4 linked regions of the Mus musculus genome follow. The protein of the gene in region 2 interacts with the protein of the main gene of each other region in a pairwise test. Links are inferred from orthologs where the notes say so. Each region holds a gene or a part of one and is shown on either strand. Other genes may lie near its edges.

Region 1 (4,031 bases), on a different chromosome or scaffold from region 2:
GGATCGCAGGAGTGAGTGATTTAGGAAGGGAAGGTTTTTAGAAAAGACAAGAACAAAATCAAGGACAAACACTGTGCAATCTGGTCAACTTCACTTTGCACACTCTGAAGTCAGCTACCTTGCTGTTCGTAGACACTGACTGGGTGGTGAGAATTTTCACTGCTAACACAGTAAAAGCAGGCCAGGACTCAAACATAATTCTTATTCTGGGATAAAGTAGAGGGATAGAAAGCAAGAAGAGGGAAATTCTATAGGTGGAACAACATTATGAACTAACCAGTACCCCGGAGCTCTTGACTCTAGCTGCATATGTATCAAAAGATGGCCTAGCCGGCCATCACTGGAAAGAGAGGCCCATTGGACTTGCAAACTTTATATGCCCCAGTACAGGGGAATGCCAGGGCCAAAAAGTGGGAGTGGGTGGGTAGGGGAGTGGGGGGGGGTATGGGGGACTTTTGGGATAGCATTGGAAATGTAAATGAGGAAAATACCTAATAAAAAATTAAAAAAAAAAAAAAAGAAGAGGGAAATTACAACAGCAAAACTCTGTCATTGCAGTGTCCGTGAGCAGTTCAGCTAGACTGTACTTAGCCGGGATACTATGAAGTCGTGACCAATATACCAAGGTCTTGATTTCAGGCTTTGCTACAGATTAACTGAACTATCTCTGAAGACACTAGAGTCCTTTCGCAGGGCGAGGATTAGTCAGTTTCTCTTTCCATCCTTTTAGAATATGCTGTTCTTGGTTAAAGTCATGGCGCTCTCAAAGAGTCTAAAGCATAGATTGTCCCATGTCTCTTCCAGACACCAAGATGCTACTTTTCGATCACAACCTCCGCTTCCATCCTACATTTGACATCTCTTCGTGACCAATTCATGAGACAACTACCAGGTAGCGCAAACGAAGAGCCCTTGAGGGACAGCACTCATGTGGAGGCTGGCAGGTCAGCGACGTCTTCTCGTCTCGCCTTTTCCGATAAGGAATATTTGAAGGGCAAGGATTGCGGCGGTAGAAGGTGAAAGAGGTTTTGGTTGGTTTTGTTTTGTTTTGTTTTGTTTTTCCATTGTAGGACCATAAAGTCATTGTTTCTGGCTGTGTTCCACCGGATCTAGCAAAGTACCAACTTCCGGTCCGGTTTCTATGTCTTCCGAGTCTCGAGTCCCTCTAATTGTGCAGGAGTTCCTGCCGGGTGCAACGCTCAGCAGCTACTTCCGCCAGAAGTCCCTGGCTGCTCGGGCTCGGATGCTGCTGCCCCGACGCCGGGTCCGTCTCCTCCGCAGCCCGCCCGTCAGACGCCGGTGGCAGCGGGGAGTGCAGGGCCTGGCGGGAAGCCTTCTCTGCGACCGAGTCCCGGCCAGTGGTGCGGAAGAGACTTGGAGAAGCGGCCAGGGCGGTGCCCGCAGGCCCTGGCGCACCCGCCCAGCCGGGGCGGGGCTCGACCTCCCGGGCCCGCCCAGCCGGGGCTCCGTCCGGGTCTGCGGATTAACCGCCGGGCACCTGCGGGACTGGGCCTCCCGCCCCTAGGCTGCGCCCAATATGGAGTTTGCGGAGCTGATTAAAACCCCACGGGTAGACAATGTGGTGCTGCACCGGCCTTTCTACACCGCCGTGGAAGGGACCCTGTGTCTGACAGGCCACCACCTGATCCTGTCTTCCCGGCAGGACAACACGGAGGAGCTCTGGCTCCTCCATTCAAATATCGACGCCATCGACAAACGGTGAGCGCCCACCACACCCAGGTCCCGGAGGAGCCTGGAACGGAACAGACGCTTTCAGGTGGTTTTTTATGGGTATCCTGGCTCAGCCAGCCAAATGAGCCTTCTGGGGCCTAGATCTATCTGCACTGGCCACCTGGCATCCCCAGGCTAAGGTCTCAGAGTCGTAGTGGTCATTTTGAACAGCATTTGGGCGTATTTTTAAATGTTCTTTGTAAAAAAAAAATTTCTTCCACCACATTTCTTGAATTATTGGTTGTTGTTAATCTGACTTCACGAAGTTATGATTCAATACAATTTAAAGCGACCCCTCCCCCACGATCTCGTTTTTAAATAGGCATGCTCAGCCCTTTGCAGCATAGGCCGGTCTTGAACTTCCAACTCTCCAGCCCCAGCCTCCCAAGTAAGTGCTGGAATTACAGTTGTGTGTGTATGGGCCGCTATGCCTGGCCATAGTATTTAACTGAGTACACTGTCATTTTTTCCATATATATGCATATGCATTTTAGTCTCTCCTTAAAACGTTTTAAAATCGGTAAGGTGCACCCCTGTAATAGCTGATGGGGAGTGCCGATGCAGGTGGATGACAAATTTTACACCCCTGCTCATTTAGGGAAGACTGAGTTTATCATATTGCATCTTACTTATTCTCTGGAATGATCACTTCCCACTGAGGGTAATCATTAGCCCTTAACATTCAGTTTTTCTTGTGAAAAGAAAGGGGCTGGCTCTAAAGGAACATAGGAACTAATTCATCTTTATTTCCCTACTCCATCACTTTAAATTTTTTATTTTTACTTATGTGTGTATGTGTGTATCTGTGTACAAGATACCATCAGCAGACTACTAGACTCCTCAGTTCATCTTTATTGCATAAATGTATTCAATGGTCTCTCATGCCTGCATGATAAAGACTGAATCCCTGGTTCTCTGTGTTCTGGTTCTCACCTACTGTCCTCACTAGTTTTCTTACCATTTTCATGATTTCATGTAATTTCTTACAGATTTGTGGGCTCTCTGGGTACCATCATCATAAAATGTAAAGATTTCCGAATCATTCAGTTGGATATTCCTGGAATGGAGGAGTGTTTAAATATAGCCAGTTCCATTGAGGTAAGTATGCTGCAGGCAAAATTCTGATAGGAAAATGGCGATATTTTGATTTTGTACAGCCCTTGATGCATAAGAATCATTTACTGTGCGAATCTTGCTACTTTCGCTCTGAAGACAGTTTGTGAACTGTTTTTCTGTTTCTGTAGATTTCCTGAAAGAACATCCTATGTGAAATTGTAAGCCAGTAAAACAAATACAGTGTAGCTGATTGTGGCCATGTTACAGTCCTTGGGCATCACAGTGAGCAAGTGTGGTCATCCTGAGTGGAGCAGCTCTGAAACCCTTCAACTCTGAGCAGTGCTCTTATACTGTGATTGTTGCAGTAGTGAGGTCCTGTTAACATGGGGCCTATGGGTGAAGCACCTCACCTCTCACAGTTAGCCTGTAGTGTCTTATAAAAGGAAGATGACATTACCTGCCTTTTATAGGTGTTTTACGATTACATTCGTGGGTTTATGTAGAATGCTTAGTATAATTATTGGCAAATGGTTGCTGTCATTGGAGGACCCTTCTATGGCAACAGCTTTATTTTGAGACTTTGTGGTAGAAATTAGCCATATCACATAAAGTTCACTGTCGTACCATTTCTTAGCTTACCATTGCACTGTGTGTCAGATGTATACTCTCAGTGTTGTGTATACAGACAAAGCAAGTGATTGTCACCAACAGTTGCCATTTGTGACTTTGGCATGTCTGCACGTATGTATTTGTTTTTGCCAGTTCACCTAAGGCGTGTCTGTTTATGCATGTATAAAAGCGTTGAGCCACACATAGAAACTTTGCTTGGATAGTTTAAGGTCTCTGATGAAGGTCTCACATTCTTTTCCTTCTTCTAACTATTTTGGTTACTCCAACTTTTAAATTGCTGCCACTAAATTATATCAATTATATCAACTGACTGTTTAAAGTAATTTCTAGGCAATTATAGAGTCAAGCTGATTTTATTTTCTTTCTGTGTAACTGACTTACTGGGCTTTATGTAAAAAAAAAATAGTGGGTTTAGCTCTTAAAAGGAGAGAGAAAGCCTTAAATCTATAATTAGAATTTTGTTTGGCTTTCAACAAGAAGTAGAGGATCAAGTAATATGTTGTCGAGGAAATGACACACAAACCTTTCTGCTTTTGCCAAGTTCTACTGGAAGAAATGAGCATGTAAGTTGAATAGTCTGCCATATGTAGTTGTCACTTGGAAGTATGCTCTTG
Region 2 (4,212 bases):
AGACCACTTCTTTCTTTCTTTTTTTAAAAATTTTTTTAATTAGGTATTTTCCTCATTTACATTTCCAATGCTATCCCAAAAGTCCCCCATACCCACCCCCCCCCACTCCCCTACCCACCCACTCCCCCCTCCTGGCCCTGGCGTTCCCCTGTACTGGGGCATATAAAGTTTGCAAGTCCAATGGGCCTCTCTTTCCAGTGATGGCCGACTAGGCCATCCTTTGATACATATGCAGCTAGAGACAAGAGCTCCGGGGTACTGCTTAGTTCATATTGTTGTTCCACCTATAGGGTTGTAGTTCCCTTTAGTTCCTTGGGTGCTTTCTCTAGTTCCTCCATTGGGGGCCCTGTGATCCATTCAATAGCTGACTGTGAGCATCCACTTCTGTGTTTGCTAGGCCCCCACTTGTTTCTTTTTTAAAATAAGTAATTTGTTTATTCACTTTATATCCCAACATCAACTCTTCCTCTCCTCCCAGTCCCACCCTCTCACATCTTCTCAGCCCTTCCCCATCTCCTTTCCGAAGGGGAAACCCACCCCTGTGTATTACGTCCGGATAGCCCCATTCCTTATCCAGTGCACCACTCACTGAGTGTTTGTTCTTTCTAATTGGGCTGACAACTCAAAAGAAACCCTTAACCTGTTTTAAAAGACAGGGTCTTACTATGTGGCTCTGGTGTCACTGAAAAGTAGGTCCTATCACTGCCTTCACCACCCCCACCCCCCTCCCCGTGTCCACATCCTACCCAGACAAGGTCTCTCTGTGTAGCCTTAGCTGTTCTGGAACTCTGGCCTTCAACCTTCAACTCACAGAGATCCTGCTACCAACTAGGGGCCCCATCACTTTTTTTTTTTTTTTTTTTTAAGACAGGGTTTCTCTGCATAGCCCTGGCTGTCCTGGAACTCACTCTTAAGACCAGGCTGGCCTCGAACTCAGAAATTCACCTGACTCTGCCTCCCAAGTGCTGAGATTAAAGGCGTGCGCCACCACTGCCCGGCTCCATCACTGTTCTTGATGGAAAGAATTTTGCTTCTGCCAAGTGCATCATTTTATTCCGAGCCGTTAGTTAGTATGCACAGATATAGAGCGCCACCATGTAGAAGGGAGGCCCTGATAGCTCTTTGCTGTCTTCCACAGCTCTGTGCTCATGTGCTGCCTAGCTGTGGAGTAACCAGTTCTTGATGTAGGATTAGGGAACACTGCCGTTCTTGACGGAAGCCAGCTATTTTTCTAGCAAAGGAAAAGTTCACATCTAGCGATGTGTTTGTTTACAAAATCTTCACAACAAAAACAAAGCTTAGAAGAAAACTTTCAAGGGTCATAAAATCCAACCCAGGAAGCAGCTTTCTCAGCTTCCTGGTTTATCTTGTGCTTGTGTCAAACTTTATAACCGTCTAAAAAGTTACAGAGAGAGGATTTGCATAGAGAGCTCTGGTTTCCATCCAGCTTTTCAACAGCGTGTTCCGCATAATGCACATAAATAAGCTTTTCTAAGCAGGTCTCGGAGTTACTGCCAATAATAAGAGACAGCAGCAATGGCGCCCTGGACGAAGTCCTCAGGGCATGGAGCAGAAGCATCCTGTTTCTAATAACCGAAAGTGAAAGTAAGGCCTGGGACTGAGCGCTGCTCGTCGCTGAAGCCAGGTTAGTGTTTTCGAGGTAGAGTTCAGTTCTAAGGCACCGGCTTCCGGGAGCTGCGCAGCGAGCGGGTGAGTGCTTGATCCATCCTCGGTCCGCCGCGTCCCTGCGGTCCCACCACCCGCGCTCAGGGATGCTCCACCCGGCGCGCGGTGGGCGGCGGCTTCCAGCGCCGCGACTCGGGGTCTGGGTCCCCAGTGCGCTGCCTGGAGACTCGCCCGCTCCAGGCGCTCCGGCCATGGGTTGCTTCCCTTCCTGGGAAAAGGAAACTTACAGTCATTGGGACTGGCTCCAGAAGGTTCTTAGAAAAATGGATTTCTCAGGAAGACTATTATTTGTATTTCTTTGGCAGGTGCTGAGTTCTGTAGTCCTGCCTCACTTTTTCAGAATATGTAAGTTGTTGTTGTTGTTGTTGTTGTTGTTGTTGTTGTTGTTGTTGTTGTTGTTTTTGGAAGGAGATGTTGAAAGGAGAATATTCAATGTAAGTTCTAGCGGGCACTGGTTTGGGTTAAGAGGACTCCTGCTCCAAAGGCACCCGAGCTACCTTGTGTGCCCCGAAGGAAACTTCCTGTGTCCTGTCCAGCCAGGAGAGAGGGAAAGCAGCAGGTTCCACTGGGCCAGAGAATGAAATCACCTCTCCTTTACTCCCCACAAAAAGCTCTTGAACATTCACCAATCAGTTATTCTGTTCCGGTCTCCCCGGCCCTGACTTGCAGAGAACTTAACTGTGAACCAATCAGTTCAGTTTCTGCATTTTCAGCTTTCTTCTCTGCCTATAAAGCAAACTTCTGCATAGCAGTGAAAACATTTGAGGCAACTGCTTTCTATTTACATTGTGCTGGCTTTGAACTCTTGATCCTCCTGTTACAGACCTGTGCCACTACACTCAGACAGACCACTTACTCGATTTATTCAATCAAGTGTGCCCTGATTGTAAAAGAAATTCAATTAGGATCTTTTAATTGTTAACATTGTATCCATCTTTTGACTTGTTTCTGGTCTATACAACATGGATACATTATAATTTCTTCCTTCCTTCCTTTCTTTTAATTTAATGTATATGAGTACTCTGTAGCTCTCTTCAGACACACCAGAAGAGGGTATCGGATCCCATTACAGGTGGTTGTGAACCACCATGTGGTTGCTGGGAATTGAACTCAGGACCTCTGGAAGAGCAGTCAGTGCTCTTAACCGCCGAGTCATCTCTCCAGCCCATTTTCTTCCTTCTTTATGCTGCCAGGAACTCTGTGTACCCGCCCCCCGCACCCCCCCCCCGATATAAGTATCCCTAGGAAAATGAGATGATTTTTTTTTAAGTTTACTGCCATAATAAATTACATGGCCTTGGTGGCTTATGCATACATGTGTGTGCATGTACACACTTTTCAATTTAAAAATACTTACTTTTAGTACTATTTTAAAATTAGATTGTGTGTGCCCGTGTGTGCCTGTGTGTGCCTGTGTGTATCCGTGTGTGCCCGTGTGTGTCTGTGTGTGTCTGTGTGTCAGTTGTAGGCATCTGCGGCTCTCCCTGGATAAAGTAAAAGGGCTAGCAGAGCTGTCTTCTGTTCTGGGAGCTCTCTCGGGATGAACTCATTCCGTCTCCATTTCCAAAGTTAGGACCAGCATTGCTTCTCTGATCATGTTTCTGTGTTCAGTCTAACTCTGGTGTTATCCCCTTCTTACTCTAGAGGGCCTTCTGGATCATGTTAAGTTTTCACACACAATGCAGGATGATCTGCATATTGTGTGTGTGTGTGTGTGTGTGTGTGTGCACTCGCGCAGGCTAGCACGTGCATATGTGTACATACCTGAGCATGCACCTGTGGAGGCCAGAGGTGGAAGGCTGGATATTGTCTTCTCTTTTGCTCCACCTTAATTTCTGAGTCAGGCTCTCTCAATGGACCTGGACTTTGGCTAGACTGAGAGTGACTTTCAGGACACCTTCGAACCTTGCCCAGGATGGGAAGTACCAGTGCTTACCCAGCAAGCTCTTTACCCTGGAGCCATCTCTCCAGGTTCCACCTCTGTATTTTACAATCAGCATCCTGAATTCAGTTTGCAGCCTTAAATCTTCTCTGCAGTGTAATCTAATGTTTTCACAAGTTCTTGGGACTAGAACATGGATGTCTTTGAAGGTGTCATTTTTCTGCTTACTATAAGATTGCTTGAAAGGGAAGAATTACCACATATTCCACACAGTGTGAAAGGGAAAATATTTAGATGAGAAATATGATGAACACATTCTGGGGGCGCTATGTAATAGACCACTTACAGCAAGAGATTTTAAGAATATTGGTGTTTTGGGCTGGAGAGATGGCACAGAGGTAAGAGCACTGACTGCTCTTCCAGAGGTCCTGAGTTCAGTTCCCAGCAACCACATGGCGGCTCATAACCATCTGTAATGGGATCCGATGCCCTCTTCTGGTGAGTCTGAAGACAGTGACAGTGTACTCATATATAAAAATATATCAAAATAAATAAATGAATCTTAAAAAAAAACAAAATGAATCTAAAAAATGTTTAAAAGAAGAATATTGGTGTTTTAATAACAATATTTAAAAACAATTATA
Region 3 (4,183 bases), on a different chromosome or scaffold from region 2:
TTTGACGAACGCTTTCGGCAGTATGGTTTCAATCGAATCAGCCAGGTACTTAAAAGGGAGAGGGCATGTAGGACTAAGACTGGAGGCGTGTCAGGGGTGAAGTGGCCATTGGTGGAAAGGAGGCAGTGAAGCAAGAAGAAAGTGGTTGGATGATGGAGAATTGAGGACAGTGGAGTGGAACTTTAGGGATGATCATGTGGGCCCTGGGGATATCATTAAGTTATTGTGATTAAATCACTGTGACCTCTCCCTGTCTCTCTCCCTCTCTTCCCTCTCCCCTCCTCTATCTCTCCCTCCCCCCCCCCCGCCCCTTTTCCAGGCTTGTGAGCTGCACGTGGCAGGGTTTAATTTTGAGGTGCTGAACGAAGGTTTTCTGGTTCATAAGGGATTCAAGGAGGCATTGAAGTTCCATCCCCAAAAGGAGGCTGAAAACCAGCGCAATAAGATCCTTTACCGCCAGTTCAAACAGGAGTTGAAGGCTAGGTACCCCAACTCTCCCCACCGATGCTGAGTCCTTGTCTTCCATGGTCTGAGAATTGTCAGTATCTGGCTCCAGGCCTGACTGGGGTAAGAAACATGCCTCCACTTTACAGAGGTAGCTATGGGTTTGGAACACTGGACTTGACTATGGGGTGCTGGGAGTCAAGTCTCAGCTTTACCACTAACTAGCTGTGTGGCCTTGAGCAAATACTATTACTTCTCTGAGCCTCCGTTACGCCGTCTGTAAAAAGGGAGGTGAAAATACCTACCTCACAGAACTGTTGGCTCAGATGAGACGCTGTATGTGTAAACATCCTGTAAACTTCGTACAAATGTGAAGTATTATTAATATTGCTACAGTGTTATTATGATATTGTTACTATTAACCATGTTGGGTGGATAGCGGCAGAGCAAAAAGTTTGAATGGGCTAGAGGTGGGAAGCTTGAGTGTTTAATAAAATGAGGCTTTTGGAAAGAAAGATGAAAACGTAGAATGTAGTGCTAAGAACGTTTCCCGTTCTCTCATGCCTTCGCCCTCCGCCCTCCGAGATCCCTGAAGGAGGAAAGAGATAAAGGTTAAAGTCCCAGATCTGTGCCCTCCAGTAGGTTGGGCTGCTCATTTGCCTTCGGATGACATTATGTAAATAAACGAATGTCACACCCACAGCTGGCTCTGTTACTCTCCTAAGCCGAGGGGTGGTGGGCCGGAGCACCGTGTTAGACGGCGGTGGACCCAAGGACACCGACCACAATGCTAGGACAGGCTGAAGGCCTGGGTTACTGGGGGCCAGTTGCTATGGAGACCCGTCCGCCGTATCCCGGCATGCCTGGACACCAGTGGTTCCATTGTAAGCGCCACAAATGGGCGCCTCCTGATGACGCACACGGAAGCGTCGACACCTCCTGGAGAAAGAGAATCCTGCGCAGCACTGTTCCGGAGATCAACGGCGGCGGCGTTCACACCCTGGGTCGGACAGCTCTCCGGGAGTCCTGGACGTGAGGCCGGAGGCCCCAGTGTCTGCGGTGCGTATGGCCACGCCCGGCGCTGGGTTGGGCTTTCCGGATCGGAGCTAAAGCAGAGACTTAACCGGCCCGACTCGCGCGCTGGCCTGAGAGGAGCCCGCGGTTCCGAGGGTGGATCGAGGTGGGATAGTTCCTTGCGCCGCAGAGTTTGTCCTCTGTGTCTGTAGGGAGGGGTCTGCTTTCCCTGGAGGTTTGCTGTGGAGGTGCTTATACACCGCGCGTTTACCGTGTGCCTCTTCCACTCCCTACAACCCTCAGCAATGGTATATCCCCTATTTGTACCCGGGTTAAGGAGGGACGATTGGTTGTGACTTCATTTAACGAAGTCAGGATCAGAGTCAGCTGGAGGAAGGAGATCCTTGAATTCATCCTGCGTCTTAGAAAGAGTATATACAACGGTGAAAAGGAATTGCCAGTGTGGAGGGTCTGAGGCGTGAAAAGGGGAACAGTGAGGCTGTTTTGGAGATCTGGATTTTCAGAGCAGGAGGAAATGCTACTAAACTCTCCTGCAGGTCCGGCGCTATAATTACTTGCATGGGTGTGAAGGAGCGTTACTCCAAGTAGGGTTGCCAAGAAGGAAAAGCCAGTTTCTATACTGCAAAAGTTTATGTTGTTTAATTTGGGTTTAGAAATTCCCAGTCATCAAGTGAGCTGGCACTGCACTGGGCGAGTAGGACAGCCTGCTGCCCTGTCCTGATGAAACACCCACATTTCACTGGGTGGTCGGACATGAGACTGGGAGAATATGAGATAAAAAACAAAGAAACCTTTAATCCCAGCACTAGGGAGGCAGAGGCAGGCAGATTTCTGAGTTCGAGGCCAGCCTGGTCTACAGAGTGAGTTCCAGGACAGCCAGGGCTACACAGAGAAACCCTGTCTCGAAAAAAACAAAACAAAAAAAAACTTCCTGGGGGAAGGAGTTATGCCTTCCCCATGGGAAAGACTTACAGAGCAGCAACCAGAGATGTAGAAATCACACCAGTGTGAACTAGAAGCATCTACATCCAAGATGACCTATTCTCTCTGGGGGCCTGGCAGTATCAATCTCTCGTTGTCTCCTTCCTTCTGAAAATACCTTCCACCCTAACTCTTGGATTTTCAATCTGTTCTGCAGAGGTTTCTCCTCCTGCCTCCTTTGTTGACCTTGGGAATTCCAACAGAGGCCCCTTCTCACAGTTCCGCCTGAAAAGTCAGACTGCACAAAGCCTAAATAACTTGCCGTATGTAGCTAGAGGAGCCTGGGTCTAGTGGAAGTTCACATGCCTGTGTCCCTGGTCCCTTTTCTCACTTCTAGGTCTTTGTACTTGTTTTTCACTCTGCCTGGAATGTTCCATCTCAGGCGGCCTGGTCCTCACCTAGTCTGTCTCCCTCTGGAAGCTGTCACTGTAGCAGCAAGCTCCAGCTCCTGTGTAGACACCTCCCATAACACCTTAATTTGACTCTCTTCACACCATTATAAAGGTCTGCTTCTTTGCGTTTCTCCCAGAAATTTGTCATTTCCTCGAGGCCAAAGGCTGTCATAGCTATACTGTAGCATCTGCCACAGTCCACGGTGACTGTTGGTGCCTGGCACACTTTAGGTGCTTAGTAAATACTGGATAAGTAGGAAGAAAGGTAGGGGAGGGGCTTAGTGTTCACTGTTTCTGAAAGGTTACCTAAGGCAAGCACTGGCAAATGTTGGTGTTTGCTACAAGGAAATTGATTCGTAATTCTGCCGCAGTGGTTTTAGTGTGAGTGCTGGGTATCCAAACACTGAAAGAGGAGGAGGTGAAAGTCAGAATAGCAAGTGTGCGCAAGGCCCAGAGAACTACAGAAAATTAACTAAACGGGGCTGTTTCATATTTCTGCATTCATTCTTTTACCTACTCATTTGGATTTGACACAGCCTCACCAGCTATTGCTAGCCTGAAACTAACTGTATATCAGGCTGGGCTTGAATTTGTAGTAATCCCCCTGCCTCCTGAATGCTAAGATAACAGGCCTGTACCACCTCACTTGGCTTTATTTTTTTATTTGTGTTTGTTTTTTCCAGAGAGATCTAGTCTAGGTGCCTCTTCAGACAGCAATCTACCACTGACCTGTACCCCCAGACATACTGCTTTTGTGTCTTTTTAAGACAGAGCTTCGCTGTCTAACCCAGAATGGCCTCCTGCGTCAGCGTGTGGATTATGTATATGAACCTCATCAGGCTCTCTCTGCTTTTTAGTTTTTTTTTTCTCTCCAGTACTGGGAATTGAGACCTAGAATTGAATTCTAGAAACACCTCGAACTCAGAAATCCGCCTGCCTCTGCCTGTGCTGGGATTAAAGGCGTGCGCCACCACGCCCGGCCTTCTTTTCCTTTTTTTAAAAGATTTGTTTATTTTATGTAAATGAGAACACTGTAGCTGTCTTCAGACACACCAGAAGAGGGCATTGGATCCCATTACAGATGGTTGTGAGCTACCATGTGATTGCTGGGAATTGAACTCAGGGCCTCCGGAAGAGCAGTCAGTGTCCTCTTACCTGCTGAGCCGCCTCTCCAGCCCCTCCTGTTTTTCCTCAGGAAAACCCTGAGCTTCCGCATCTGAACTTCCACAGAGGAAGGTGCTTCCTGTTCACGTCCTTAGGAGTGCTAGGGGCTTAGGATATTGCTCAGTGGTAGTTGGGGCTCAGCATTTATGGGAATCTGAGTTCAATCC
Region 4 (4,165 bases), on a different chromosome or scaffold from region 2:
ATCTATCTATCTTTGGTTTTCGGAGACAGAGTTCCTCTGGTTGTCTGGTATAGCCCTGGCTGTTCTGGAACTCACTATAGACCAGGCTGACATTGAATTCAGAGATCTGTCCCTGAGTGCTAGGATTAAAGCTGCATGCAGCTACCAGGCTGGAATCTCTTCTTGAGGGTTGGGTTGCTTTGTTTGTTTGCTGGCTCTGTAGAGTCTTCCCTATAGGGCTGGTCAGTTTAAAGAAAAGACAGGATCACTGGCTGGCCTACAAGTGTAAGCCGGTCCTGATGTGGCCTTGAACTACTTGAGCCAGTCCCTGAGCAGGAGGCTGGCTGGGCTGGCAGGAGAAGAAACAGCCCATTTTAAAAGGTACCACCCGTTTTTAAGGTACCGGGCTTTTGTCTCAGCTCAGGGGGGTGTAGATGAAGCTGGCCATCATGGAAGCTCACCACCTTTGTCATCTACCAGAGTTTTTATCTAACTGCTACTTCCTTGCCACCAGCAGCCCTAGTTTGGCTTGAATGTCTGGTACAGCTTCTAGTATATATTGTTCCGCCCTTCCCCTCATCCACTGTACAGACTCTGGGTTCCCTGCCCCCAGTACATCCTACGCTTTTCTCTTGGCTAAGGGACACTGAGCCTTTTCAGGGAGCCTTCTCTCCCTCTCCAAGGACATCTGCAGCCACCTCAGGGTAAATCCTGTTTTGTCTTGGTGGTGCCAACCCATTTCCCTTGACAGTGAACATAAGGAATGGAGGTCCCTGACTTGATAACTCCGAGGATGGACAACTCCTTACTCGGAAATCCGCCTGCCTCTGCCTCCCGAGTGCTGGGATTAAAGGCGTGCGCCACCACGCCCGGCTCCCTTTTCTCTTTCTGTCCTTTTTCTTTCCTCCCTCCCTCCCTCTTTCTTTCTTTGAAACAGGGTTTGATGCCTAGAACGGTCTTAAATGAATCCCATGGGGGTGACCTTGTGCAGTTAGGCGTAACTGTGTGCTTTAAGGGCCTGGCGGCACCTCATCTTCCGTAGGACTTTTTGGCTTAGTGGCATGAGACTGCGTTAGCCCAGCAAAACCATCCTTGCTGGAATCTTTCTCTGGCCCCTGCAGCGATGCAGTTCAGGGCAACTCCTAGATTGCGGACTTGGAGCTTCTATTCGCAAGATTCTACTCTCCGCCCTCCAGTGAGGCCCCGCCTCCTCCCTGCCCAGCCAATCTGCGCCTCTCACACAGCCCCATCCGGGCCTCAGCGCCTCCACATGCACACGCCCCTCGCGCGGGTTGTCCTATCCGAAGTGGAACCTTCAAGATGTCCAATCAGAGCGCGCCTCTCCCGGGCTCCGCCCCCGGGCCTGGGTGCTCCGCTTACTCTGGACCCACCCCGTCCCCACCGGCCCGGTGGCGGAGGCGAAGCGCAGTTACCCTCCGGACCTCTGACCATGTCGCTGCAAGTGTCGAGGAGCTTGCGGGTTGTGGCCTACAGCCTGCGCACCGCCCTGACCTTCTGCTCGCCGCGGCCCTGTGTACCGAGCGCCGCCGCCGTCCGCTCACTGCGCACCGGATCTGCTTTGCTGTCGGGTAAGTGCAGGGCACGTGGTCACCGCTCCTGCCCGCCCTACTCCCAAGCCTCCTGGCCGGACCGACCTATAGCCCTACCCACGCTTCTCGCTCTTGGGATCCTGGTTCTGCGGCCTTTCTCCCTAAGTAGGCGGGAGAGTACAGGAGCAAACTTTGAACCCGGGGTAGAAAGGTGGAGCTGGGAGGGAAGGACGGCTGGACCCGCAGGTAAACCGGCCACTCGTGCCGGGCTGAGCTTGCTTTTAGGTGCACCGAGATCCTAAATGTGGGGAGCACTTAGGTTTGCTGTGGAACCTAACAGCAGTTTGTTTACGAGGAACTGCGAAGTGAAGTTAAGCAGAAACACATACTAAAATTTAGCAGAATGCATATACAGATGAATGAAAAGTCAGAGTAACAGAAATAAGCTTTTTACTCTCTCCCCCGCCCCCCGCAAAATCAAGCGTAGTGAGGAAGCTTTAGCTGTGAACTACAGACAGCAGGAAAAGTTCTAACGTCTGAGTCATTGATGTGTACTGGGGTTCAAACGAGCCTGGTTTGACGGACTGGAAATAGCTGGGAGACCTGCCCATTGTACGCGTTTGCACAGTTAGCTGGGAAACAGTTTTATGTGCAAGTAGTGGAGACCTTACTCAGGCAGCACAAATCGGAACGGCTGCTCTCAGCGAGTGCCGTGGGTCAGAAATCTGTGGAACTCAAAATGTTGATCACGTTATTCCTCGGTGTGGAGTGCCACGTTTCTTCCTTTCTTGCTAAAATTTCTCCAGTTTTTCACACACCAGACCGTTATTGACTGGAGTACAAGGGTAAAGAAATGCTCAAATAAGCAGTCCGTTTCAAACCAGGCATGGTGGGTGGCTTCCACCGGTAACCGTGTCAGCACTGCTGAGGTGGAGGATCGCTGTGAGGCCGAGGGCAGCTGGAGCTACATACTGAGTTCCAGGTATTTGGTTAAATATTGCCTAATGTGTCAATTCCCACGGTCTGCTTAACTACTCAGGTTCTTTTCATTTTTACCCTCTTTGAACTGGCAGAATTGTGCACACTTATTATGCAGGGTGCAGAGCCTTGTGCTTGTTGAAACACAGACATTATTCAATTCTGGTTTTTCCTCTTAGAGCTGTGTGGTCTCGGGCACAGTCTCTCAACTTCTCAGAACCCCAGTGCCCTGCATTAGAACAGTGGAGGCGAGGCAATAGCTACCTCAGAGTTACTGGGAAGTCGTCCTGTCACCTGCAGCTTGACATATTAGCAGTGAATAGTTTTATTAACTATTAGTGTGTAGTGCCAGATAGCACCACTGACCCATATTAAGCAAGCTATTGTGTTTGAGAATGCAGTATCTTCAGTTTCAGCTCAGATTTTCTGAGGCCCCAAACCATGGTGGGGTTTTGTTTCTGTTTTCTCAAGGCTGGGTTTCTCTGTGTAATCTTCCCTATTCTAGAACTCTCTCTCTCTGTAGATCAGGCTGGCCTAGAACTCACAGAAGTCTACCTGCCTCTTCCTCTCTGAGTGCTGGGATTTAGGTGTGCCGCCCCCCCCCCCCCCCCCAGTCTGTTTCTGCTCTGAGGTCTGCTCTCACTGCGAAGCTGGAGAGACCCCTGTGTAGCTGAGGATGACAACTTCAGATCCTTCCACAGTGCTGCGACTGGACTGCCGAGCACCACCAAACCCAGCTGTGCAATGGTAGAGACTGAACTCAGAGCTACCACAGTGATAGGCAAGCACCCATCCCCCAAAGCCACATCCCCAGGTCTCAAACTGTGTTTTTCGAGGATTAGGAAGAAAGTAATTATTTACCTAATCTGCTTTCTTCAGTGAGGTCAAGGGTTAACGGAGAATTGTAATCTGTGCCTAAGCCTAGGTAGCATTCCTGGGCTAAAAGGACAATATGGACTTTAAGGGCAAGTGGACCTGGGTGTGCTGAGCTCAGAATGCTGCTGGCTCAAACTGAAGCTGCAAAGTTGAGGCAGAGCAGCGACACTGTCAGCGGTGTGGCCGAGGATAGCGCAAAGGGTCAGAGATCTGTGACTGTCCGCCCCTGGTCAGATGCTGTGTTGAGGTGATGATTGTTGGTCATAAGGTAATCAGGGGGTTCTAGACTTGTAAGAGAATGGCAGTTGAGAGCCACAGCCACATAGCTGTGCATCATCTTTGACCCAAATCCCTTTTCCTTTATTTTTTTTAGCAGGGTTGGGAATTGAAGCCAAGGCTTTGGCCCTTTCTTCAAGGACAGGCTTAAAGAATTGCAGAATTTTAAGAACTTGGCCAAGTTATAATTGTTTATAGGAAGCCTGTTTCAGTCCATAGAACTAAGTTGCAGTTACCTTAGAGAACTCTACCTAAAGACTCACATTACCCTTTTTTAGGTTAAATCTTTTGGTTTTCATATCTTTGTTGTTGTTGTTTTGTTTCTTGAGACAGGGTTTCTCTGCAGCCCTGGCTGTCCTGGAACTTACTCTGTAGACCAGGCTGGCCTTGAACTCAGAAATCCACCTGCCTCTGCCTCCCAAGTGCTGGGATTAAAGGCGTGCGCCACCACGCCCAGCTTGGTTTTCATATCTTAAAAGGTTTATGCTACACGTGTTTTGCTTGCA

The links.
Region 1: the proteins of Nmi (region 2) and Mtmr9 interact in binary tests that used the Homo sapiens proteins (3 or more experiments, as listed by UniProt). The two-hybrid records come from large-scale screens. The link is inferred for Mus musculus from reciprocal best matches to the Homo sapiens genes NMI and MTMR9.
Region 3: the proteins of Nmi (region 2) and Brms1 interact in binary tests that used the Homo sapiens proteins (3 or more experiments, as listed by UniProt). The link is inferred for Mus musculus from reciprocal best matches to the Homo sapiens genes NMI and BRMS1.
Region 4: the proteins of Nmi (region 2) and Gcsh interact in binary tests that used the Homo sapiens proteins (3 or more experiments, as listed by UniProt). The two-hybrid records come from large-scale screens. The link is inferred for Mus musculus from reciprocal best matches to the Homo sapiens genes NMI and GCSH.

The regions. Positions count from the first base shown.
Region 1 is NC_000080.6:63,541,146-63,545,176, reverse strand, and holds the start of Mtmr9 (myotubularin-related protein 9), read left to right. Parts: upstream 1-1,223; 5' UTR 1,224-1,537; coding exon 1,538-1,719; intron 1,720-2,052; exon of another isoform or gene 2,053-2,119; intron 2,120-2,720; coding exon 2,721-2,829; intron 2,830-4,031. UniProt on the Homo sapiens protein: Acts as an adapter for myotubularin-related phosphatases. Increases lipid phosphatase MTMR6 catalytic activity, specifically towards phosphatidylinositol 3,5-bisphosphate and MTMR6 binding affinity for phosphorylated phosphatidylinositols.
Region 2 is NC_000068.7:51,970,407-51,974,618, reverse strand, and holds the start of Nmi (N-myc-interactor), read left to right. Parts: upstream 1-1,410; 5' UTR 1,411-1,710; intron 1,711-1,991; 5' UTR 1,992-2,031; intron 2,032-4,212. UniProt on the Homo sapiens protein: Acts as a signaling pathway regulator involved in innate immune system response.
Region 3 is NC_000085.6:5,039,988-5,044,170, forward strand, and holds the start of Brms1 (breast cancer metastasis-suppressor 1 homolog), read left to right. Parts: upstream 1-1,375; 5' UTR 1,376-1,503; exon of another isoform or gene 1,504-1,624; intron 1,625-4,183. Other genes in the region: B4gat1 (beta-1,4-glucuronyltransferase 1), read left to right, coding at 1-45, 320-511. UniProt on the Homo sapiens protein: Transcriptional repressor. Down-regulates transcription activation by NF-kappa-B by promoting the deacetylation of RELA at 'Lys-310'. Promotes HDAC1 binding to promoter regions.
Region 4 is NC_000074.6:116,990,691-116,994,855, reverse strand, and holds the start of Gcsh (glycine cleavage system H protein, mitochondrial precursor), read left to right. Parts: upstream 1-1,357; 5' UTR 1,358-1,429; coding exon 1,430-1,568; intron 1,569-4,165. UniProt on the Homo sapiens protein: The glycine cleavage system catalyzes the degradation of glycine. The H protein (GCSH) shuttles the methylamine group of glycine from the P protein (GLDC) to the T protein (GCST).